6 linked regions of the Oryzias latipes genome follow. The protein of the gene in region 6 purifies or fractionates together with the protein of the main gene of each other region. This does not show direct contact. Links are inferred from orthologs where the notes say so. Each region holds a gene or a part of one and is shown on either strand. Other genes may lie near its edges.

The links.
Region 1: the proteins of anapc15 (region 6) and anapc4 purify together in Homo sapiens (affinity purification with mass spectrometry; 10 studies listed by BioGRID and IntAct, with this or other methods). This does not show direct contact. The link is inferred for Oryzias latipes from reciprocal best matches to the Homo sapiens genes ANAPC15 and ANAPC4.
Region 2: the proteins of anapc15 (region 6) and anapc7 purify together in Homo sapiens (affinity purification with mass spectrometry; 3 studies listed by BioGRID and IntAct, with this or other methods). This does not show direct contact. The link is inferred for Oryzias latipes from reciprocal best matches to the Homo sapiens genes ANAPC15 and ANAPC7.
Region 3: the proteins of anapc15 (region 6) and anapc2 purify together in Homo sapiens (affinity purification with mass spectrometry; 4 studies listed by BioGRID and IntAct, with this or other methods). This does not show direct contact. The link is inferred for Oryzias latipes from reciprocal best matches to the Homo sapiens genes ANAPC15 and ANAPC2.
Region 4: the proteins of anapc15 (region 6) and cdc27 purify together in Homo sapiens (affinity purification with mass spectrometry; 3 studies listed by BioGRID and IntAct, with this or other methods). This does not show direct contact. The link is inferred for Oryzias latipes from reciprocal best matches to the Homo sapiens genes ANAPC15 and CDC27.
Region 5: the proteins of anapc15 (region 6) and anapc1 purify together in Homo sapiens (affinity purification with mass spectrometry; 3 studies listed by BioGRID and IntAct, with this or other methods). This does not show direct contact. The link is inferred for Oryzias latipes from reciprocal best matches to the Homo sapiens genes ANAPC15 and ANAPC1.

Annotation. Positions count from the first base shown.
Region 1 is NC_019862.2:1,185,939-1,190,003, reverse strand, and holds the start of anapc4 (anaphase-promoting complex subunit 4), read right to left. Parts: upstream 2,801-4,065; 5' UTR 2,739-2,800; coding exon 2,631-2,738; intron 2,553-2,630; coding exon 2,447-2,552; intron 2,375-2,446; coding exon 2,242-2,374; intron 2,162-2,241; coding exon 2,087-2,161; intron 2,009-2,086; coding exon 1,982-2,008; intron 1,911-1,981; coding exon 1,866-1,910; intron 1,780-1,865; coding exon 1,695-1,779; intron 1,554-1,694; coding exon 1,446-1,553; intron 1,369-1,445; coding exon 1,198-1,368; intron 563-1,197; coding exon 498-562; intron 384-497; coding exon 341-383; intron 264-340; coding exon 187-263; intron 112-186; coding exon 11-111; intron 1-10. UniProt on the Homo sapiens protein: Component of the anaphase promoting complex/cyclosome (APC/C), a cell cycle-regulated E3 ubiquitin ligase that controls progression through mitosis and the G1 phase of the cell cycle.
Region 2 is NC_019867.2:25,467,751-25,472,034, forward strand, and holds the start of anapc7 (anaphase-promoting complex subunit 7), read right to left. Parts: upstream 2,801-4,284; 5' UTR 2,679-2,800; coding exon 2,578-2,678; intron 889-2,577; coding exon 702-888; intron 1-701. Other genes in the region: ubiquitin-conjugating enzyme E2 G1, read left to right, coding at 3,498-3,540. UniProt on the Homo sapiens protein: Component of the anaphase promoting complex/cyclosome (APC/C), a cell cycle-regulated E3 ubiquitin ligase that controls progression through mitosis and the G1 phase of the cell cycle.
Region 3 is NC_019866.2:2,378,332-2,382,201, forward strand, and holds the end of anapc2 (anaphase-promoting complex subunit 2), read right to left. Parts: intron 3,850-3,870; coding exon 3,774-3,849; intron 3,703-3,773; coding exon 3,499-3,702; intron 3,282-3,498; coding exon 3,149-3,281; intron 1,240-3,148; coding exon 998-1,239; intron 919-997; coding exon 709-918; 3' UTR 501-708; downstream 1-500. UniProt on the Homo sapiens protein: Together with the RING-H2 protein ANAPC11, constitutes the catalytic component of the anaphase promoting complex/cyclosome (APC/C), a cell cycle-regulated E3 ubiquitin ligase that controls progression through mitosis and the G1 phase of the cell cycle.
Region 4 is NC_019866.2:74,751-78,785, reverse strand, and holds the start of cdc27 (cell division cycle protein 27 homolog), read right to left. Parts: upstream 2,801-4,035; 5' UTR 2,015-2,800; coding exon of another isoform or gene 1,988-2,014; intron 1-1,987. Other genes in the region: somatotropin, read right to left, coding at 3,320-3,382, 3,451-3,597, 3,671-3,814. UniProt on the Homo sapiens protein: Component of the anaphase promoting complex/cyclosome (APC/C), a cell cycle-regulated E3 ubiquitin ligase that controls progression through mitosis and the G1 phase of the cell cycle.
Region 5 is NC_019873.2:15,540,425-15,543,924, forward strand, and holds part of anapc1 (anaphase-promoting complex subunit 1), read right to left. Parts: intron 3,430-3,500; coding exon 3,364-3,429; intron 3,240-3,363; coding exon 3,102-3,239; intron 2,926-3,101; coding exon 2,782-2,925; intron 772-2,781; coding exon 711-771; intron 1-710. UniProt on the Homo sapiens protein: Component of the anaphase promoting complex/cyclosome (APC/C), a cell cycle-regulated E3 ubiquitin ligase that controls progression through mitosis and the G1 phase of the cell cycle.
Region 6 is NC_019871.2:21,813,268-21,817,228, forward strand, and holds anapc15 (anaphase-promoting complex subunit 15), read right to left. Parts: upstream 2,801-3,961; 5' UTR 2,559-2,800; coding exon 2,439-2,558; intron 2,364-2,438; coding exon 2,304-2,363; intron 2,214-2,303; coding exon 2,073-2,213; intron 717-2,072; coding exon 669-716; 3' UTR 70-668; downstream 1-69. UniProt on the Homo sapiens protein: Component of the anaphase promoting complex/cyclosome (APC/C), a cell cycle-regulated E3 ubiquitin ligase that controls progression through mitosis and the G1 phase of the cell cycle.

The sequences.
Region 1 (4,065 bases), on a different chromosome or scaffold from region 6:
GAACTCGTACCTTCTATAGCAGCAGAATCTAAGCCCAGGGGCTCAAACTTCTGCCTCCACAGAGACATCCCTCTCACCTCACTGAGATGGTACAGCAGAGCCTCGGAGCCACTGCAGGAGGCAGAAGAGAGGAGCATGAGGAGCATGAGGAGGAGCACTGACCTGAGGACAGAAGGGGGAGCGAACCTCTGCAGGTGACTGATCACCAGCTTCTGGATGCTGGAGTAAGAAGACTCGATAGACTGGCCAAGCTTCTTCAGACCCTAAAGGGTGAAGGAACGGAAAGATTTCAGTCTCAAGTCCTCAGAAGGAGGTGGAGTCTGAACTCACCTCTCCTCACCTTTACAGTCAGCTGGTTCATGAGGAGAGCCTGAAGTTCAGGACTGGAAAGGATGAAAAAACAGTTAAAACAATTCCTTACTCACTGCTACCATCCACAGGACGGTCCAGGCAATACAGTTCAACCATGAAGACAACAAAGGAGGTTTGCTTTCCACCTGGACTGTCCCCACAGCAGGAGCTCCAGAAACTCATCCTGAACCTGAGTGCTCGTGTTCTTTTCCTGGGAACACAGAAGACATGACCCTGAGTATGGTGGCCCTGAGGTCCCAATCACATTAACACAAACGCATGTTAAGACCAGAATGACAGTTAACAAAGCAAAACTAAAAAACATCATCTTTTGGAAATCAAAACAAAATTCAGGAGACTGAAATGTAAACAAAAAGATTCAGAAAAAAGGAGTTTCCATAAGTTAATGTTAAAATTAAAAAAGAACTAGAGAAACCAGAAGAGGCAGGTCCTTTGAGGCATTGCTGATTGGATGATGACATTTGAGTTGTGAAGAAGAGGAAACGCAGAAGAAGGTTTCACCTGAACTGTGGCAAACAGCTGATTAAACAATCAGCAAACGTGTGCAGTGGGCGTGGCCAGAAGCTTAAAGAAATCTCCTCTGATGGAAGAGATCGCCATGACAAAGAACTTCCCGCCAAAAAGGTGAACAAACATCATCATCCAATCAGAGACGTCCCCTGATACCCACCTTATTATTATTTGGTCTGCTTTTTTCATTTACCATGATTTTCTGGTGAGAGATTTGTTGATGTGATTTGCACATCAGGGCCACCGTACTAAGCCAATATGCGCTCAAATGTTTGATTCTTCCTCCAGAGAAAGGCATTTCTTTACCAAACAAACCTGAACAAACTTGGTGAGCCGAAGGTCCATCTGCATGAGGATGTCCTCCCACGCCTCACACATACACGTCAGAGAGAGATGCAGGTACTGCAGCAGCGTGGAGATGAAGGTGAACTTCAGCGCCATCCGGGTGACCTCAGGCAGGCAGTCAGACAGCAGGCCTGTGTCCAGCTGACGGGCAAGGAGGACGCATTAGGAACACAAACAGAGCATAGATACTCAGAGAGAACCAGAGTGGATCACCTCACCTGGATGTAGCAGATCTCTGGGTTATTGTCAGCAGACCTGACCTCTGCGATGACAGACAGAGACCTGAGATCACTGGATAGACACAGATTGCGGCACGTTCCAGTCACCTGCACAGCAGGATAAATCCAAGAAAAACAGTTCAATCTCCAGGCATTTCAGGATTACTACCAATTAAATCTGTAATACAAGTAAAACCCCTCTTTGGTCACTTTTAATTGTTTGTTACAATGTCAAGAAAGCTTTCTTACCCCATCCACAGCTGCTATCTTATACATCCCATAAGCATAAAGCTCCACAAAGCCAGAATCTCCTCCAAGAACAAGAACATTCAGTCTGCAAGGAAAAAAAAAAAAAATCACTCTTACAGTCGTGGAACCATTTTCATTCAATCCTCAAAAACTGTCACCTTGTTTTTTTACCTGGCATCTCCCAAGAGATTGAGTATTTCATCTGACTTCTCTTCACTGTGACAGAGGGAAGAACACTCAGGAAAAATTCAAACGCTTCCAAACATTCATCATGAATGGTGTCTCACCTGAAGATCTTTGAAGTTGTGCTGTAGCTGTGGAGGAAAAACAATGACTGCATGGAGATTGCCAGTAGATGAGATTTGAAGCAATGCACGTCTTCATGGCTTTACCTTTTTGGAAGGGTTGGGATTTTTGGGAGAAAAAGTTTGGATTCATCCTCTGAGCTGTAGAAAGAGCTGAGGGAGCTGGAAGGTAGAGAACGATAACTTAATATGATTCCTGTCTGTTTGGTTAAAGCATGGATATCCCTTGAGCCTCTCTTCACCTGCTCTCATCCACGACCTCCATCCAGTGCATGCAGGTGACGGCGCTCTGCACTGGGAACACGTGAAGGATTTCTGCCTTCTCAACCCCACAAAGGACGATCTGCTTTGTGTCTCCGAGACTGAAGGCCAGTGCTGGAGATCAAATGGATGAGCAGAGTATAAAATCCTCACATTCAAGTTGAAATATGTCGAGTCCACCCTTACTTTTGCCATCTGGTCTCCAGGCAAGCGCCGTGATCTCTTTCCCGGTGCGTTCAGTAGGTGGTAAACTCCAAACCCGCTGGAAACTTGCTAAGCGATGCAGCAGCAGCTATGAAAATCAAAACATTCAACTTTGGATAAAAAACCAGCATAAAGAGTAAGAGGGTTTTCAGGAGCTGAAGCTCACCTCTCCAGCCGTGTTGGCCAAAGCGATCAGATCCCTCTTTGGAGACCAGGCCATACACAGAACAGGGTTTGGAAGCTGCTTCTCCCCTACCTGCCGGAAGGCTGGCATGATGCAGCCCGCAGGTGGAGCGGCCCACAGGTGGAGCGGCCCACAGGTGAAAGGAACGCAGGTGGAGCGGCCCGCAGGTGGAGCGGCCCGCAGGTGGAGCGGCCCGCAGGTGGAGCGGCCCACAGGTGAAGTGGATGTAGGTGGAGCGGCCCGCAGGTGGAGCGGCGCCGACAATGACTGGACGATGCTCTTCTGGGACAGTTCCACCTTTTAAAAATCTCAATGGTTGGTATTCTGAATCTGTCCAGCTGACATGACCTGCAGAACATGACTCCATTATTCATTCAGCCTGTTCTTGTTCTTCATTTCCTGTATATTTGATCAGATGGAACATACAGCAGGTGGCTTTTCAGATGAAACACGACACCTCTTAGATTTACATACCTCTGTCATATTAAAAAGCAAATAGCCCAAACCAACAAAACAAGTCAGGAAAATAATAACAATTAATGCAAACAATATAATCAATCCACTAACTGTGTTTTTTTTTTGTATCATTCATTTTTATTTCAAAAATGTTACGTCCATTTTTTAACCGTTTCTACTATAAATCAAACGAAAGAAAGAAAAGATTTTTCAGCCAACATCAATACAGGAAATCATAACCCTTTAATCTAAAACCAAATAATAAAAATAAAGCTTTTAAGTCGATTCTTCGCTGAGAAACTCACTTGTTCAGATGAGATGTGACGCTTCCAGCTGTTAGCCGTTCAGCGGATAAACACGACTCTGTTTGTTTCAGTCCTTTACCGTCTTAGAATGACAACACAGAAATAATCCACATTAAAGATACTCTTTTGACGGTTGATCCAGAGTCTGGCGGTAGATTTTCCTGAAGTCGTTTATGCAGCTACTGAGACGCCGCCATACTTTTCTCTCGACCAATCACTACGCAGCAACGGCAGCCGAGAGGAGACAAAGTTCTTAGAAGACAAAACCGCTCCTTGAAAACTAGCAACAGTTTAATCGATGGAGCCCGATGGTCAGGGTTATGTCATGGAATTCCTTAGCAAATATTAGCCTATTTCAGTTTACTACAAGTATACTTAGTAGTGATGGATGAGGATGAGTGTATTGACATATTACCCAGACTGTGTCGACTCTGTATTGACGGTGTTGTTTCCTCTAGTGACCGCTGACATAATAATCAAATCATTGCGGTAAATAAGTAAGTAAAATAAGATTTAGATGAAAAAAGCAGTTAAAGCCCCACTTAAACAAAATATGTATTTTATATTAATTTTATTTTATGGAATTATAGCATGTTTTGTAGCACATTTCTCCTGAAAAAAATCTCATGTTTCTCATGATAGAGGACATAGAAAAA
Region 2 (4,284 bases), on a different chromosome or scaffold from region 6:
CTTTCAGCCCCAACCTAAACATATTAGTGCAACAAAAATAGCTAGCAATATTGGAACTATCCAACCATCTTAATAGTTTTGATTCAGATGCCAGCTTGGAGGGGGAAAACAAAGAAGTACACGGATCTATTTGTCTGCAAGTGGATGTATCAGATTGGAGCGGAGCACGGAGCTTGTGGCCGTAACAAATACAATCTTTTTCAAACGGCATTCTTTAAATCTGCTCCTGATTCACCAAGATTTGAATAAAGAAGTACTCAGAAATGCTTTTTTAAGGTTAATTTTTCTTTACATATGTCCTCCATCAAGAAGAAAATGCCACAAAAAAATGTAAAAACTGTTTTGAATATTACCTGAAGATGAGGAAAAACAAACCAAGAGGTGCCCTTCAAGAGTCACTTGAGATAAAGACGTCTGCTGCCAAAAATGTGTCTATGCAAGTGATTAAAAGGTAGTTTCCCCACTCTAGGATCAGTATTGGTCATAGATCAAAAGCAGCAGGCCAGCAGACACTTTCATGGTCTTCAGTGTTATTATTTTCTTGCATATATTGTAGGGATGCAACCATTAACTTCTGAGATCTATCTATCTATCTATCTATCTATCTATCTATCTATCTATCCATCTATCCATCTATCCATCTATCCATCCATCCATCCATATTTTTTTTTCCTAAATGTGTTGAAGCATAAAGCCCTCACCTGTGTCTGCATGTTGGAGGCTGCTCCACCAGCTGATGTGCGAACCTTGGATGTTTTGCTGAGCACCTTCTTCTGCTGCAGCGCCATGCTGTACTTGCAGGCCGCATTGCGATATTCCTTATCGTGAAAAATCGCATCGGCGTGGTAAACCAGCAGTTGGTACTTCTGAGCCGGTGAGAATAGTTCACTGGAGACAAAAACGAACAAGTTTCATTTAAAAATAACTACAAAGCACAATACCTCTATTTTATGGCACTAGCTTCGCATTTAAAGTGTGCAACGTTACGAAAACAGCAGCTGTATAAAAAATTACATTTTGATTACGGGGAGTTCTGGGGGGTATTCCAGAAGCATGTTTAAACTACCCTGACTTTAAGCCTGAACTCTGGCTGAAATCCGCCTGAACTTGCTTACTCTGGGTATGTCGGTTCCAAAAAACCGGATATGAGTTAGCGTAATTACGCTCCACTTGGTAACCCTGGGTTAATGCACGTGCACAGCAAGTACATAAAGACATTTTCAATGGATTGCCGATCTACGGAGTCACCATGGAAACGCGTGGTGAAAAAAAGAGAGCGCTATACGTCAGTGAGACGGAGTCGGAGATTTGAATGACGGCGTATGAAGATTAAAAAAGTAACACGGCTGCATCAGCAAAAGAGAGTTTCTGCTTGGAGAAAAAGAACGGACAAAGTAAACACAAGAGTTTCTATCTCATTTCCATTGTGATGTGTATATATATATATATATATATATATATATATATATATATATATATATATATATATATATATATATATATATATTTATAAAACTTATCCAACTTAAATGAATTAATTCAATTGGTAACAAGAAATTGAGTTAAATATATTTTTTACGTCTATCCAACTCAATATTTTTTTTAACTCAAATTTACATATTTATCTAACTAAATGTCATATCACTCCAATTCAATTAAATGTTTTTTCATCTTAATTTATTGTACTTCTTGAACTCTCATGTGTTTAAGTTTGAGCCTGCAGATATGCTCATTTTTACAACAATAAAATGCATGAATCAAAACAGATTTGCAACATGACACGTAACTGACTTAACAAAAAACAAAAAAGATTTATCTCAACTAAAGCAAATAATTAAGTTAGATCAATGTAACAAATGTTATCTTTCCAACATCCATATGTGGTCTTATCACCCTCTATGGTGGAAAAAGTATTATCTGAGCTTTTTCATCCACTAAATCATCTTCAAATGGACACACCATGCTGCCTTCACCTCTCTGAAAACAAACTAACCTTCAACTAAACCTGTTCCAGACCGGGTTATGTTCAGAGCATGAGTTGCTATGGCAACTTGACATACTGTGAAACAGACCTCCACTGTTGGTACCGAAAACTGAGATAATCCGCTTCATTAGCCTTAAACTTGCCGTGGTAACTAGCATAACCTGCTTTCTGGAATACCCCCCTGGTACATCTTCTTGAATATAAATGTGGCGAAAGAACAAATAGTAACATCTAATCAACTCCGGAAAATGAAAACATTTGATTAATGTAAATAAAGAAAACATCAATACATGTGAACAAAGTGGGGGGATTTGAGTTCAAACATCCCTCAATGACACTTCACCAAACTGTTATTGCCAAAGTCTCCACATGGCTATGTAATGGAGTGAAGGCTAACTGTATGCATCTCATAACACAAGCTAAGCATGTAGAAAGAAGCTGTGTAGGCTGCGCATTCAAACAATAGCGTAAAGACTACGACAATATGTTTTTTTCATATATATAAAACTGTCGCGACAACGGAGGAAAACCACAAAACACTTGCGTAGAGACTCATTCGGGAAATAGACGGGTCCCAGTCAAGCCATACTTACGGATTGTTATTGCTCATCGTCAGCAGCAAACTGCTCACAATGCGAACATTGGAGTGAAGGCCGGCCGAAGCCATGTCCCGAACGTGATCAATAACATTCATTTTACCGAAAAAATGCAGGCTCTTCTACAGGTTTCGGTGTGAAGTTAGAACTTTTAGCTAAAAAATATCTAGCCTCTGATGTATTAAATATGGCGCTCAGCAGCCTTCCTTCCGTGCACTGCTGCATTTGTAGGTCTGTACAAATTAGTTTTAGCAGACGATTCACGAATGACAGGTTAAGAGCGCAATCAATTCACCCTCATACAATCTTAGTATTTTTATTTAAATCGTTTTAGTTTACACATTCATCATGATGAACGTAAATTTAAACATTTGTTACTTTGTTTTTGTTCTTTGTAACAGTCTTCAATGTGAATTTGATATTTCCGATGGTTATGAACGCATCTTCTGCTTTTCACTGTATGTTTGTATTTAGCTCAAAAATCGACTTTCGCGTGAATAATTGAAAATTAAAGGCTTACTTTATAATTGTTTATTTTTTTCAACCATGTATTATTATGTTCGTGTGCCGAACGAGTTCTTCAAACATGTAGATGTCAACAAACATACGGAATTCAAATATCCAAAAAGCCCCAACATAAAATTTCTAAATTGAAAACATTTCAAACAACGAGGTATTCTGTGTATTTTTAATGCAGTCCTTTTGTAAGTCTAATTCATTGGCAGAAAGATATTTTAACAACACGAACGCGTGGTCAGCTTGAAGCACGCATGCGCACTTAAGCTAGCACCTGAATCTTGTGTCAAAACACGGAGCCAAGCGGCGGCAGCAGCAGCAGCATCGCAGGACCTCCTCTCTGTGTGCCAGAAGATATTTGTCTATACAGACAGTTTTTTTCTTAGTTACGTACGCGTACCATGACCGAACAATCAGCATTACTTCTTCGAAAACAATTGGCAGGTAATGTGATCGCATTCTTTGATATTAAAATTACAGGGAGAAAACAGCTAGTTATGTAGCAGCAATAGGCTAATGCTAGCTTTTGTGAAGCTATGTTTACGCTGTAAGATTCTGGTTAACAGGCGCTTTAATGACCGAAATTATCAGGACGTGAGCAATCTACTTGAGTTAGATGCCCATTTGTGTGGCAAAATTATGATTTCAACGTCACGTTGGAATAAAAGATAAACTAAAACCCACGCAGACCAGCAACGCCGACCGTCCTAGCAAGCTAGCAACTTCGGCGTTATTTAGCGGGCAGAACAAAGGAATAATGAATTCAGGGGCTCACAGCCCTTTTGAGTTTAGCTTTACCAATGATACACATGAATACCGTAATACGTTGGGCAACACACAAACATATATTTTCTTAGTAAACGTAATTGAAAATGTGAAACTCATTATTTAGTTATGTAAGATAATATCTAATCACTTTCTCTGGTAGGATGATAGCGGTACCCGTTGGCATTTTTTAAGTATCGAACGAAGCCCACACAGGAAAATAAATGCGCTGCTTTTATATTGACTAATTTTAAGAGTCATCACCAATATAATCAGTGATGTCATTTTAATGCCAAGCACGATCATCTGCTGAACATGAAGTACGGTTTGCACTGCAGCAGTTAAGCTAGAAAGCAAACGATGATTTATAAACTCTGCGAAAAAGCATCAACTCACTTAATATTTGCGTTCATTAGCTTTACT
Region 3 (3,870 bases), on a different chromosome or scaffold from region 6:
GGTGAATCACCCAACAGGAACTGTGAGCTTCAGCAGCCGGCAGCGTTCTGCTCCCGTTCATGTTTCGTTTCAGAAAAATGTCATGAATGCGACGCAACAGCCCAGCAGTGAAGACGGCAGGTCCTCATGTGAATGAATCACAACAGGAAGCAGCTGACGGAGCGTCACAAACGATCTGGAACATTCCTCCTGATAATCTGTGGCGCGTTCACTGCAATCTGTAATTGTCCTGCTGTCGAACAAACACCAGCCCGTCCCGCTAACTCTCCCCTAGAACCCGATCTGCTAATCCAGAGTGAGTGTAAACGCTGAAAGGGAACCGCTTGAGTCCAGAACTTCAGTCTTCAGCTTCTAAACGTCTGGCTTTGATTTGCAATAGAAAAAAAGCAATAAACTGTTTTTGTGAATTTGAAGACGATCTTCTAAGAAAATGTTCTTTAACAGGTTTATTATAAAGTGCCATTACCCAAAATGCACTGTAATATAATGGGATTACTTTTGTGGAGGGGGAGTTTATTTCTTCAATGTGAACTAAATAAATGCGAAAATATTCAGAACCACATTTTTCACAGAAAGTCCATCACATTTAACCCAGAATGAAAAGTTCAAAGTAATAATTTAAAGAGCTTTTATGATGACCCAAAGGAGGTTTCAGCCTGCAGCACGTTGGCATTTTCCCGCTGCTCTTGAACGCAGCACGGTCCTGCTTCAGGTGGGCTTGGGGAGTCTGTACACCCCCGCAGACATCAGAAGCTGCTGCTCCCTGACCTTCTTCTGCAGGAAGGCCTCCAGCTCACTGATGTCCATCTCCGTGACGACGGGCCCCGTGGCCACGAAGATCCGCAGCATGGAGTGGATGCGGTCCAGCGTCATGCTGTCCAGGTTGGTGAGCATGGCCTGGATGTAAGCCCAGAAGAGCTGCAGAGACGACGGGGGTGGGGGGGTCATTTGAAATATTTGACAACATCTAGAAAACACGGAAAAGACGAACGCTCACCTGCAGCTTCTCCTCCCTCTGCTCGGACTGGGTGGTGGTGTTGGAGTCCCTCTCCTCGTCACTGTCGATGAGCATCCCCCCCCTCTCCAGCTTCTCCATGGAGGAGCCCATCTCCACCACATAGTAGCGCCCCCCCGCCTCCTCCCTCAGGACGCCCTGCTGCTGCCACAGGGCCAGCTTCCTGTGGACCAGCTCCTTGGGGGCCCCCAGCTTTCCGCTCAGCTCCTCCAGCGTCCAGGAGCCTGAAACCCAAAGTGGCGTCTGCAGTGACGGAGAACGGAGGAACCTGGAGACGTTCTGGCAGCATCTGATCATTTAAAGGCCCGAGAATCGGAACCGTGGCCGAAACTGAAGCTAAAATCTTCTGTCACCTGAAGATCCTGAACATTGAAGCTGCAGGACAATTAAGGAACTGCAACATTTAATTATCTAAACCAGGGGTGTCAAACTCACTTTGGTTCGGGGGCCACATTCAACCCGTCTGATCTCAAGTGGGCCGGACCAGAAGCGTAAAGGCAAAACAACAGCTTTATTCTATTTTTTTACCCAATTGGAAAACAGGCCTCAACCAACATGGTAGCCTTATTTCTTATTACACATTCATTCACAGAGGCCAATGGATCTTAAATAAAATTAATTTCACTTTAAAATATTGGTTTATTTAATTTTATACAGACTGAATATTTTAAATCTGACACTGAAGCAATCCTGATAAATTCAAGAGGGGCTACAGACAAAAATGAAACATGTTTCTAAAATGTAAATGTCCAAACGATGACAAAATTACACTGAATTAAACTTGCAAACATAAGAGTTTGGAGTTAACCTCCTTTCTCTCCTGAAACTTCACCCGTCCATAGATATCAGGATTCAAATGCTGTGCAGAAACACATTTACTGTCATTCAAGTGTGCAAAACACAATGAAATGTCCATTATTATTCATTATTATAAGAATCTATTCCTGGTTTCTGCCTGAATTTTGTGGCAACACCTGCCTTCTTCCTGACCTTTAATGGGGCGCCATTAGTGACCAAAATTACTTCATGTGACCAGTTCACTTCAACATCGTCCAGCACAGTAACTAGAGAGCTGACTATGTCATCAGCTGTTGTGTCCATCAACTCCAGAAACTCCACTGTGACGTCACTTCATCACCTCTAATAAATATCACAGCTGTACATATCTGTGATGTTGGTGCTTTCATCAATAGTGACTGAAAATACAATAAATGACTGGATTCCTTCATATGGCTGCCCATGTTTTCTCAGAGATGTTGGATCTGATCGTAATTCTTGACAGACTCATGTTTAAGGTCGACTGCTTTTTGGGCCGCAAGACTTCTACTATGCCTTCAGCATTTCTCAATAAGTTCATCATCAGAAAAAGGTTTGGATGTTTGCTCCAACTTGTTTGCAATAAGGTAGCTAGCTTTCCCTGCTCCATCACTGACGTCACGCCTGTAGTAAATCCAGATGGTTATTTATCGGTCCAGCTAATAGTTGCTAAATATTTTTTTTTCTTAACTGCAAATGGTGAAACTTTTCTTTGTGGAGAGTCTCATAGTGGAGCTGAATGTTATATTCTTGGAGAACAGCTGTTAGGTTTCGTTTTTGGCACATGCAGAGTTATGTTGTTTCACCCGTTAAGCTTTTCCTTTGCTCCCCCTAGTGGCGGAATTGCGCATTTCGGTTATTTCTTTAAAAAAATCATAACTTGCCAGAGGAATGGAGTAGAAACTTGCTTTCTTTTTTAAACATCCTTATGATTTTTACTCATTTGTGGGCCGGACCAAACCACCTGGCCGTATGTTTGACACCCCTGATCTAAACCGAATAAAAAAAAATGTGTCATTACAGACCAAATAAATGATCAGTTTCTGGAGCAACTGAAGCAAAACATAAATTTGAAGCTGCGTAATCCAAAGGAAACGAGGGCAGAAACCAAACATTTTCTGCAAGTTCAGAGAATTCTAGAGCAAAAATTTAAGAGTAAAACATCTGAAGAAAAGCTGCTTCATCTGAAGATGACTCTTTATGTGAGGATGCAGGAGGGGGGTGGGGTGTGCTCATCTCAGCATAAAGCTTAAACTGAGCAGAAAACCTGAAGTGGTGTGGACTGTGGAGGCTGTACACTGAACCAAAGGAACCCACTTTTGTCCTGGAAGTGAAGGATGATGGCGGCCTGGATGGGCGACACGGTGAGGTTGGTCAGGATTCGGTCCTCCAGCTCCACGTCCAGAATGACGGATCCCAGGTGAGGCTTCCAGCTCAGGGTCCTCATGGCCTGAAGAGCAGGAGGAAATGAGGATCCAAACAGAACCCCGTTCAGGACAGACAAACTGGGTTTGAACTTTAAACGCTGCGGTCGCATCAAAGCTGTGGCTTCAAGACGAGCAGAAAATGAACTTTGAGAACAATCAGATTAAATATTAGTTCATAAAGAGGATCCACAGCTGTCTGTCTGTAGAATCCTCCAGAAAAAACAAACAGCTGGACTCCACCTTCAGTTTCTCGTATCTGTGGGTGTAGGCCTCCATGGCCCGGCACACGACGGGGGGCAGCTCCAGCTTCTCCTCCTTCAGCGTCGGCCAGAACTCAGAGGACAGGATGATGGCGGACAGAGGCAGCGGCGGCTGCTCGTCTTCGCTCAGCCGCGACTCCTCCTCCCGGATGTTGCCGTTGATCCTGCGGGAGTCCGCCATGTCCTGCAGAGGAGCGCCGCATCAAACTGCAGCTCCTGGCGGAGGAGAGTCCAGCTGCCGAGTGTGGGGGTTACCTTCAGCATGACCTCGCAGTAGTGCATGTGAGACTCTCCGAAGCGAAGCTTCAGCAGCTCCACGTTCCGGATCTCCCTGGAACAGAGCAGAGTCCAA
Region 4 (4,035 bases), on a different chromosome or scaffold from region 6:
AATCTGAGTGCAGCTAAGAAAAAAACAGTCGGCACAGGTTGCTGTCGTTCTGCTTTGGCACAGGTTGCTGTCATTCTGCTTTGGCACAGGTTACTGTCGTTCTGCTTTGGCACAGGATACGGTCGTTCTGCTTTGGCACAGGTTACTGTCGTTCTGCTTTGGCACAGGTTACTGTCGTTCTGCTTTGGCACAGGTTGCTGTCATTCTGCTTTGGCACAGGTTACTGTCGTTCTGCTTTGGCACAGGATACGGTCGTTCTGCTTTGGCACAGGTTGCTGTCGTTCTGCTTTGGCACAGGATACGGTCGTTCTGCTTTGGCACAGGATGCTGTCGTTCTGCTTTGGCACAGGTTACTGTCGTTCTGCTTTGGCACAGGTTACTGTCGTTCTGCTTTGGCACAGGTTACTGTCGTTCTGCTTTGGCACAGGTTGCTGTCGTTCTGCTTTGGCACAGGATACGGTCGTTCTGCTTTGGCACAGGATGCTGTCATTCTGCTTTGGCACAGGTTACTGTCGTTCTGCTTTGGCACAGGATACGGTCGTTCTGCTTTGGCACAGGATACGGTCGTTCTGCTTTGGCACAGGATGCTGTCGTTCTGCTTTGGCACAGGTTACTGTCGTTCTGCTTTGGCACAGGTTACTGTCGTTCTGCTTTGGCACAGGTTACTGTCGTTCTGCTTTGGCACAGGTTGCTGTCGTTCTGCTTTGGCACAGGATACGGTCGTTCTGCTTTGGCACAGGATGCTGTCATTCTGCTTTGGCACAGGTTACTGTCGTTCTGCTTTGGCACAGGATACGGTCGTTCTGCTTTGGCACAGGTTGCTGTCGTTCTGCTTTGGCACAGGATACGGTCGTTCTGCTTTGGCACAGGATACGGTCGTTCTGCTTTGGCACAGGATGCTGTCGTTCTGCTTTGGCACAGGTTACTGTCGTTCTGCTTTGGCACAGGTTACGGTCGTTCTGCTTTGGCACAGGTTACGGTCGTTCTGCTTTGCCACAGGTTACGGTCGTTCTGCTTTGGCACAGGTTACGGTCGTTCTGCTTTGGCACAGGTTACGGTCGTTCTGCTTTGGCACAGGTTACTGTGGTTCTGCTTTGGCACAAGTTGCTGATGTTCTGCTTTGGCACAGGTTGCGTCATCATTTTTAAATATTAGATATTTATTGAATATTAGATCAGAACTTTGATCTACGTTTAAAGGCAAATACTTTTTTAAAGCTCTAACATTACCATACCCTCCTGCCTGATCAGGGACCGGCACACCTGAGCTGTGACGTCAGTCGGCGCTGGTTACATGCAGTATTTCCGTTTACCAACAGCTAGCTAAAAAGCTAGTTTAGAGCTAGCTGGTTAGCCGACGCTAACCATGCCCCGCTAAGCGTGATATGTTGCGGGTGCCGTGAGGCAGAACTGTTGCGGGAACCCCACAGCGAACCTGGAGAACGGTTCGGTTCAGTCTGAAGCTACAGAACCTTATTCCTGCCGTCGAAAGCGGGTTGTTAAGGCGCTAGCCGGTTAGCTAGCAGATCTAACGTTCCAGACAAGTGTTCCAAAATCCTGAGGACCACCTCTAGTCTATCCAAACCTGAACTAAACTTGACCCAGTGACGGTCTCACAGCGGGGACAAATCTTTGTCTTCTCCGCTCGATTCTTTGCTGCGGAAGCTACCAGGAGAGAAAACGTTCCAGCCCGTTTACGTGTCAACGACAGCCGGGGGACCGGCGTCCTGACCAAGTTACGCGCCATGGAGCGGATAAACCGGCCCTCTACGAAGCTTGGCCCGCAGACCGAAAAGAAGCACACCGCTCAGCCCCGAGCAGATGCCGGGAAGGCGCGGAGAAAAGGCTCCGGGCGAACTTCGAGGCCTACGACGGCGGAAGAATGCTGTTTTAGCTCGGGCTGAGCCTGAGCGAGCCAGATGCTGAGGCCGGTGACGGCTAATGTTCGTATTCCGGTTCGTGACAACGACCTAACGGCGTTTTCTTACCTGGACAGGTTCCTGCAGCACTGTCATCCCGCTTTAGGACTCTGTATCTCTGCTCCAGGGACCTCTCTCCTGCTTTCTTCACGGCTTTCTTCAGCTCTATCTCTGCGAGGAGCCGATGCGGCCGAACATTTGAACGTCCGACCGTTACCTTCCGAGTTTTGCCGGAAAACGCCGAGCCATAGGCCTAGAACACACTGCCCTCTAGCGGCAACAGCAATAGCAGGTAGAATAGCTGTTTGACGCCTACTGCTGGCAAGTCTTGGTATCACTTTTTTAAGTCAGTAGCGGAAAATGTCATCAGCTGTTATGGAGCAAAATCTGCACCGTGTTTGTTTGTTTGAAGGAAAGATTTTTCATTCGACAAAACAAAAGTTAAAACACGTTAATGTTAAATACTAAAATATGTCACGAAATAACATTCAATTTTTTTATCTTTTACAAAAATATTCTTTTACACTTTTTTAATAATCACCTTAAAGTTTGCATAACTTTTTTAAATGTATAAATTTGGTGTTGTTTTTTTTTAATTCTTTAATTCAAAACTAAAATTTACTGTTTCAAATATTCCTTTTTTGAGTTTTGGATTAGCTGCATTATTTTTTCTGTGAAACTTAACTTTTCACTTTCAGATCAAATTGTTTAGTGTAGGTCCAAGCGGAAAATGTTAATGAAAGAGAAATATTGCTTTCATATCTTGTAAAGCATGCTTTCAGCAAGCAGCTGTTTGTAAATGAACCTCAATCTCCTGTACACTGAAAAGTTCTATAGGCAGAAGATGGACACCCTGGTGGAACATTTTTTGTAATTTTTTTCTTAATTCTTTTTTTCTATTAGCAAATATACATTTTTTTACAAAACCTTTTTCGTTCATAAAGAACTGAAGCCCATGGGTTTTGTTGGTTGAAAGGGTAAAAATGACATTGACGGGTCTCAGAGAGATAAGTGAAGACTTGTGACAGATAGTAAAAAGTTTTCTGTCCCGCTCCTAAACAGCTTCTTTGCTGCAAATCAGAGCATTTATGAAGCACATGAATGTTAAAATAAAAGCCAAACTTAAATGCTGCAGCTTCATTGCAGCTGAAAGCTGGTGAAGCTGCTCCTACGATGAGGTCCCCTTTGCCCACCCTGTCATGTAGAATAAGACAGGTGGGAGTATGGAGAACACGAGAAACTCAGATTTTTATTCCATGGTTTCTTTAAGCTTCCTGTTGTTTTCAGAAAAAGAGACACTGAGAATGCAACACAAACTTTATTATGACACCTCCTATTCCTGCTAATGCTAACATAATTATTTAAAAGCGGAGTCTATTGTCATGGTGGGGGGCAGCATGACTACAGGATACAGTTTGTCTCTGGAGACAGTCGACATTTAGCCACAGTCAGGTAGGTCTCCACCTGCAAAAACAGACATTTCTTTGTCATCATTGTCATTATCATATCACACTTGCTATCCTCCTTCTCACCTTATGCATATCCTTCTTGAAACAAGCTAGCAGTTCGTAGGTCCGCCGCAGTGAGCCATCGGCTCCAAGTCCATGATAATAGTCTATGTACTCCCCCAGTGGAAGAGACAGGGTGTCTTCATATATCTCAGCCACATTCTGATTGGCCTACAGTTCAAGTAGTAGCACAATTGACGTCAAAGCCAAAAGTCATGTGTGGCAGGTTTGTGCATGTACTCACCCTGATCAGAAGAAGAATTCCTGTCTTGAGTTCAGCCAGTTTGGGTGAGATTTGGTTCCTTGGAGCAGAACTCCCAGACAAAGAGCGACTGGGTAACTCCCAGGATTCCACCAGAACATAGCAAATTGACAGCAGCTTCTGAACCTGGAACCAAACACTGGTATCAATGAGGAGTAGCTGTGTTCTTCTCATCAGTTTTAACTGTTACTTCTTTACTGGGATGTTCTGTCCGAAATGGGTACTTTGCCATGCTTCTGCATCGCCTCTTTTTATTTATTCAGTTAAACAAGAACAGTCAACATTAATAAACTTTTTAACAAATGAACCAACAGAGCTCAATGTCAGCTGCAGTCCCTGGGGAAGAA
Region 5 (3,500 bases), on a different chromosome or scaffold from region 6:
CAAAGTGACCAAGAAAGATTTTAAATGAGCATGTACAAACCATAGAAAGTATCTTTTCATTTATTTAATTGTGATTTTACCATCTTTGTGTATATGCTTTTTCAATTATTTTTCTTTAAATTGCCTAGAGTGCACACACATAGATGTGCACACATCACAGTGTTTAATAAAGATAATCCATTGATAAACTATCACCCAAAGAGAGTAACAGTGATTCAGATACGGGTGAACATTTCAAAATATAAAGGATGTACCTATTCTATAAAAACAACAACATGTGATCATTACCAAAAATATAAGTCATTTCATCAAACCCAAAAACTATACAACAGCAAAAACGTTCTTTTTTTGTAATAATGATTAATAATTAACAGTAAAAGATGTGACAGTCCTTTGTTAATTGAAAATTATCAGAGATATGGACACTTGGATTGTGCATTAATCATTAATAATGGTTTGGTGCATGCACATCTGTGTTTGTGTGTTAGAGGCTTTTAAGGGTATCCTCAATATAACAGGGTTATACGTCATTTTGAAAACACAGAGCGGCTCTCAAACCTAATTTCAATGACCTGAGTGCTGTGACTCAGTCATGTAAGTGTGTGGTCACATGGAAAAACTAAACATTTTAACAACAGATACCATTCCCAACCAACAAAAACCAGTAAGTCTAAAATACATCTGTGTTCCCAGCGTGGGTGTTCGCTTACCCAAATCAGACGTGGCAATCTCAGGGATGGAGATCCTCAGCATCGAACCACTGCTCAGTTCCTTGAAACATCACACAAACGCAGATGAGTTTGCCAAGAATATTTCAGATTTATAACAATGTCATGACAGGATAATTTAGTTTCTACAAGCAGCATGTCACAGCATTCTGCTTTTTTAAAAGTGCAGCCCGTAACCAAAGCAGCTAAATTGAATTATTCCTTCCTCAATTTGATTTTAAACAATTGTCCTTTTCCAATTGTGACATGAAAAATGAAATGTCTTGTGTAAGAAACTATCCGATTGGATGGCAGATGGAATACCACAGCATGAAAACAGTAGTCAAGGCTTTTATAAAAAACATTTATGTGTAAAATAAATCTTTAACAAGGTAACAGAAACAACAATTGAAATAAGATTTTATTTAAGACATAATTATGGAAAAATATTGCACATAAAGTTCATTTGGCCACCCATTTGGTAACCCCAGCTGTAGTTTCACTGATTTTATAGCTGTTCATTTCTTTGCTTTAAGAAGCTTAATGATAATTTCTTATCACAAAGTAATAACTGTTCTAACTACGGTAAACTGTTAACAACCCAAAGGGGATATTTTACTGAATTTATAAATTTCTGGTGTGATACTACTTTAAAATACATATTTCAGTGAATAATAGAGCAATGCTAAAAGTTAGCAGAGAGTTGGGTTATTTAATGAGAAATGTGGATGTTTATAAAATAAAGAACCAAATTAATTCGTCCTAACATTACAGAAAGGACACTTTGGATCCTAAAGTGTCAACATTTTATGTTTCCGGCAATTTAAACCAAGCAAAACGAATGAATCCATCTGCAAAAATTCCATGCTCTGAAAATCCCAACTGAGTTGCACTGGCAACAATTAGTCATCAGATTGATGTGTCAATGCCTCAAAGAGATGGCAAATAACAGAGTCAAAAGAGCAAAAGCCTGAAGACTGTTTGACAGTTTTTCACTGAAGATTTTATGGCAATTTGTGTGCGAGCAAGAAGTGTCAGCGTCATTTTCTACGGTCCTGGGGCTTTAAGGAATGAATAATGACTCAACGAACCCAGAGGCCACAAACACTGATTTGTTTCCTGGTTCTCATTCACAAATTGGTCAGAATTTCACATGAATGTGCACGTGACACATGGTGCTGACGAGAGAGGAAACGTTGAAAAACTACTGTTTTATGTAGGTTGTAAAATAAAAAATATGGGAAATTCCCCTCCTTTGGTATAGTCTAATTTTCACTACTACTAAAATACTTTTTATATGTACATGTTTATGAAGAAAAAAAGGATCAACCTCAGTTAAACATTTCTATTCCAGAACATAACAATTAACTGAATAGGATGAGTGCAACAAATACTAAATTTGGAAATAAATTATATCCTTTTAAGAAATATAAACAAAGCTATGAAAAGTAATAGACTTAAGTTTTTAATAGATAGACAACTATGCAACTCCCCATGGCACATCAAGATAAAAATAAAAATAAAGAAAAAAAGAAACTAGATATAGAAATGTATTTGAAAAAATAATTGTTTTGATTTCTTTATGTCTCTTGTTCTCTTCTACATTACTTTTACTTCTTCCTTAATTAAATTGCTACATCTGAAATGAAATGAGAAATTAAAATAACAACATTTAATAAAACAATTAAAAATACAGCCTTGCATTGTCTTGTTTTCGCCTGAGGAAGTCTGACTAAATACTGAATCAATTCAAATTTAATTTCAAAACCGATAGTTAAGTAAAGCAGATCTTATAACTAGTTTTACAAACAGACCAAAGCACGGTTAGTTTAAGTAACTAGTAATTAGGAGTTCTTTCCATACAAACAAAAGTTTGTCTGAAAATTAATAGAATTATTTCAAAAGTAAAAGTAATGCATAGCTTGGTTTCTAAGATCTTAATGATATTATTTGGCAATTTTTAGAAAATAGGAGAACTACCGTAATTAATTAAACTCTCTGGGAGGGAAGATTTTTTAAAGAAAATAAAAAATAAATGATTTTATACTAATCCAAACAACAAAAACAGATCTACCAGAGTCACTCTGTTGAAGACAGGATCCCGCAAAGTTTGAATGTTAGGTGTAGCTTTCTGAAAGATGTAATCTTCTAAAAATGAAGCCTCATGGTGTTTGATGTTTGGACCTCTACCATCTGATAGGGGTGAAGGCATGTTGTCCTAAGAAAAACAGACATCATACCATTTTAATAATATTTAGTGACTTCAGAGAAAATAACATATACATAAAGGAAAAGATTAATCAAACTTCCATACTTTAATTCGTAACTTAAAAGAAAAAAATCCAAAAGCATATTGGCAAAACCAAACAGTAAAATTGCAGCATAAGCTGGTACCTCTTCAAGTCTCTGAATGTGTCTGTGGCTGGAATTAGCAGGTGTGCTAACATTTTCCAGAGGTGTGCTCAGATGGGGGGTCTGGCTACTTAAACTGAAAGAAGGTGACAGAAGGCCAGGGACGAACACTTTACTGACCTAGGGGGCACAAAACCAAACCAAACTTAAGACCACAACACAGAGATCCCGTCTCAATGATTTAAAGGAACGGTTCATATGTGAGCATCTTTGTATTAAACTGCTATCATGTAGCAACACTTACCCTGGTGATTCCTGTGTAAAGAACCAAGCTACCACAGGCCTCCAGAACCAACATGGCATTTATACTCTGAGGATGAAAAAGAACATGCAGTTCTCAAAGAAAGTCAAACAATCTAACTTAGTTATCAACACTTTAAT
Region 6 (3,961 bases):
AACACATTAAAGGGGCATCACATTCATTTTTCATTTATACAAATGGGAAAATTAAACATGACGAGATCAAAATGTTAAAACAATGTTTATTATAAATAAAAGTCACTGTAACATATGCAGGAGGAATTTCACATGGACTTTGTGTGTTCTGGTGTATCCTTTAACAAGCTTTATTGTAACTAAACTAAACAATTCAGTTTAAAAGCCTGAAAGGAGAATCGTATAACTTTATGAAGTCACTACTGAAAGAGTGCCGTAAAGGTACACAACACTGCAATAAAACAGCTAAAACACCTTTAAATGTCTTTTTGTTTTCTTCATGAGTAATGCATTATTGTGCTAACCACACCAGTGTTTCTGGTTGCTCAGCAGTGAAGGCACATGACTGAAGATACGACCGGGTCAAGGTTTAAATAAAAGATCACTGAACCACAGTGTGCAGCTGTCACTTAGATATGACAGTTACAAAAGCACACCAGAGGGTTTGTGGGTCTTTGAGGGGACGCTAGCGGGTCCAGATGTCAAGAGCTTCCGTTGGTCTGCAGCTCAAAATGAGACAATTAAGACAATACTTTTATTCTGTTAGAAATCAGACCCCCAATGTTCTATAAAAGGGACACAAACCTAAAGACAGATTACTTGAATGAGACTGAAAATGATTTCATTCTCTATATCATCCACTGGTCTTGGTCTTGCTCTGGTCCTTCCATATCCACCTGCCCAAGAAACAAAGTTGGATTAAAGACGAGTGTTTGGAAGAGATTAAGATTTACAGCTGAGCAACCAAATACTTTTACCCATCAGCATTAAAGATTTGGAGGACAAAAGGTGACATATTGAAATAATTGAATACAACATTAGTTCATTTAATAAATGTGTCAACAATAATTTAATGCCAATTCAGTTTATGTGAAATATACATGTAATTAAAGCTGCAGATGCTACAAATCCTCATGACCCCCTTTCTACTCACCCTCAATGTCTGAGCGGCTGCTACACGCCGCCTGCTCTCCTGCTGCCCGCAAACTTTGAATCGAAATCTTGTGAAAATTTATTACATGAAGCGTTGGATCAAGTTGAATAAAACGATATGACTATATTAGAAATGTTGGAATGGTTAACAAAAAAAAAAAAAAACCTCTGTTGCCAAGGAAATCCAAAAATTTACTTTTTCCAATTCTTCTAAAAATTACATGGACCTGCTTATCACCCCCAGGCAACGAAAAATTAAATGGTTGCTATGGAAATAAACAAACATAAAAGCTGCCATTTTTAAGAAAGTATGCAGACTTCTCTTAAAACAATGCTGTGACAACGATAAGACACAGCAACTCATTGAAATGGGGTCGGTCGAGTGCAGATTCAATAAAACATTTTTAACGTGACACAAATTGCTTCTCACCGTTTTCCTAACAATCTAGATGTTATCAGCATACCTTCATACCAAACGTCTCCTCATCTGCAGCTGCTAGCAGCCTCTGAGTTAAAGCACACGCGGCACGCCACCTTGCCAGTAACCGCCTTGCAGCATGCAAGTACCAATGTAGCAAGTAAAAAGTTTTGTTCCCAAGTTCAAAAGCGATAATCGAAATAAAAAGTTTGAGCAGTTAACTGTTCCGCTTAGGATTGTAAAGGACAGTACGTCTGTCCTTCTCTTGTTGTTTTGACCCCCCCTCGTAGTTCCTGGCCAATGACTGAAGAGATCTTTCGTCATGTGGTTTTGTTTACAAGCTTTGGTCCTCAACAGAAAGGTCCGCTTGATGCCAGTCTGAATATAGACCAAACGCAAGGTTTGGGACTCGATCTGGAACAAAGGACTTTCCCAGTCTGAATACATTCTCATAGCGAACAGAAGATCGGTCGGATTGAAAATGAACCAGACCACCTTGACAGAGCGGTCTGAGAGCGGTGGTATTCAGAATGAAAATTTGTTCCGGATTATCGGGGGAAACTAATTCAACCAAATATGTCCAGTCTGAATACACCCTTATAATGTTGTATTTATTCAAATTGTCACCTTTGATCCACTATAAAGATGCCTGTCCTCCCATAAAACAAAAACATGACATCACCTCATTAATCTCCCCATCATCTGGAGACTCATTGTAATCATTCATCTCGTCCATGTCCTGCATGTCCTCTTCATCTTCTGAGTCTTCCTCGCTGTCCTCCTCATCCTCATCGTCCTCCTCTTCCTCTTCCTCGTACCCTGCCTGGATCAGACATGCAGACCACATCATGATGACTGGGAGAACCTTAAGCGTCCAGCAGCTTCACAGCTTTGTTCAGATTCACGTTTATACCTCGAAAATGGGCTTTCCAATAGGCATCAGGTTGTTGTCTTTTTCGGCGATGCTCTGCAACTACAGATAGCAGATCTTACATTACAAACGGTGAAATGACACAGCAGATGAGGCGGAAAAGACTCGTTCGGTCACCCATGTTTGATGCTGCTGCTCCTGCTGCTGCAGCTCTGCTTCGTCCACGCACGGCCGGTCCAGGTTAAACCACAGAGACTCGGTGATGCGGGGCAGCAGGGAGGGGAACAGCGTGGACATGGCTGCCGGCGGTGCCGCGAGGCCGAGGGTCCAACAACAACATCAACGAAGCTGATGAAAGTTTACAGAAAACTATCAACGCCAAACCTTCCGAGTGGATTCACGATCTAACGCTTTCCGAACTCTGCTTGTAAAAATTTGAGTGAAAATTCGCAAGTCTAAAACTGCCCTTGTTTCACTTTGGCGTCGAAATTTCAAAAATAAATACAGCCGGAAACTGCTGGTGTTTGCAAATAATATGTCCCCCTCGTGTCGTGTCTGACAAAGGTTCCGCTTTGAAAAAAAGAATAGAATGTTAAGAGAAAATTAAAGGGAATCAGTGAGGTTTTTTTAAAATTAGGATAAAAAATCATCGATAGATGTTTGTGTAAATGTCAGAAAAGTTTTTGATGATGTACAGAAGATAGGTTTTTAATTTTGAAGTATTTTTTCTTTAACCAAAAGGAAAATATATTTTTTTCCAAAATGTTACAATTTTAAAACCCACAGCTAATAGTTAATAAACTCAAGTTGCGCTATGAGCACCTTGGTGAAGAGAATCTCTCAACTGTCAGAGTCCAAAAAAGTTCGTCAAACAATTTAATTCTACTCACTTTTTAAACCACTGTTTAAAAACAGAGCGTGCTGACACGTTTTTGTTTGATTCCAGCTGTTGGAACAGCTACATGATTTAGCATTTATTCCCTAATGCTTTTTTTTGGGGGGGGGGGGGGGGGGGTTCTCTTTATAATCTTTGACATTATTTTTAATCTAATACCACAGTGCATCTAAACTTTAGGCCACAGCACATATTGATTCTGTAAATTGTCTAAAAAAATAAGAATAAGCTAATCTTCTTGGTCTTTTATCTTTGTTGGGCGAGTTATTTTAAAAAAAAAAGTAAGATGTTAATTTAATTGTGGTTTTAATCATTTGAGGATCTTAGAAACAGCTTTTTTAACGTTCGTGTTTATAACTTAAAATGGTCAAAATTAGAATATGCAAACTCTACACAGAAAGGACCTAGTCAAGATTTGAGCCAGAGCATTCTGTGGGGCAAGAATGCACCACCCTGCAGCCAAAAAGAATGGTGGCTTCGCAGTAAGGTCCTTACATAGCACACATCCAAAGTCAGACACATTTGTAGTAACAATTTAACCTCTTAGTTCAGCAGGTGAATGGAAAGAAAAATAAAACAATTGCAGCAGAAGCACGTCTGAACTCCCACATTTTTGCTTTCTGTTGGTCACACTGACATTTTATAAGCTCTGTCAGGGCTGTATTTGTGTGAAAGAGACAGAGAAAGAGACCTTGACTTAAGCCTGACTATCTACAAAATGCAATAAAACCTATCACACACTCTCATGAACAGCCTCCTTTTTTCTCACATGTGGGACTCTCTGCAGACTTTATGCGGAAAAAAG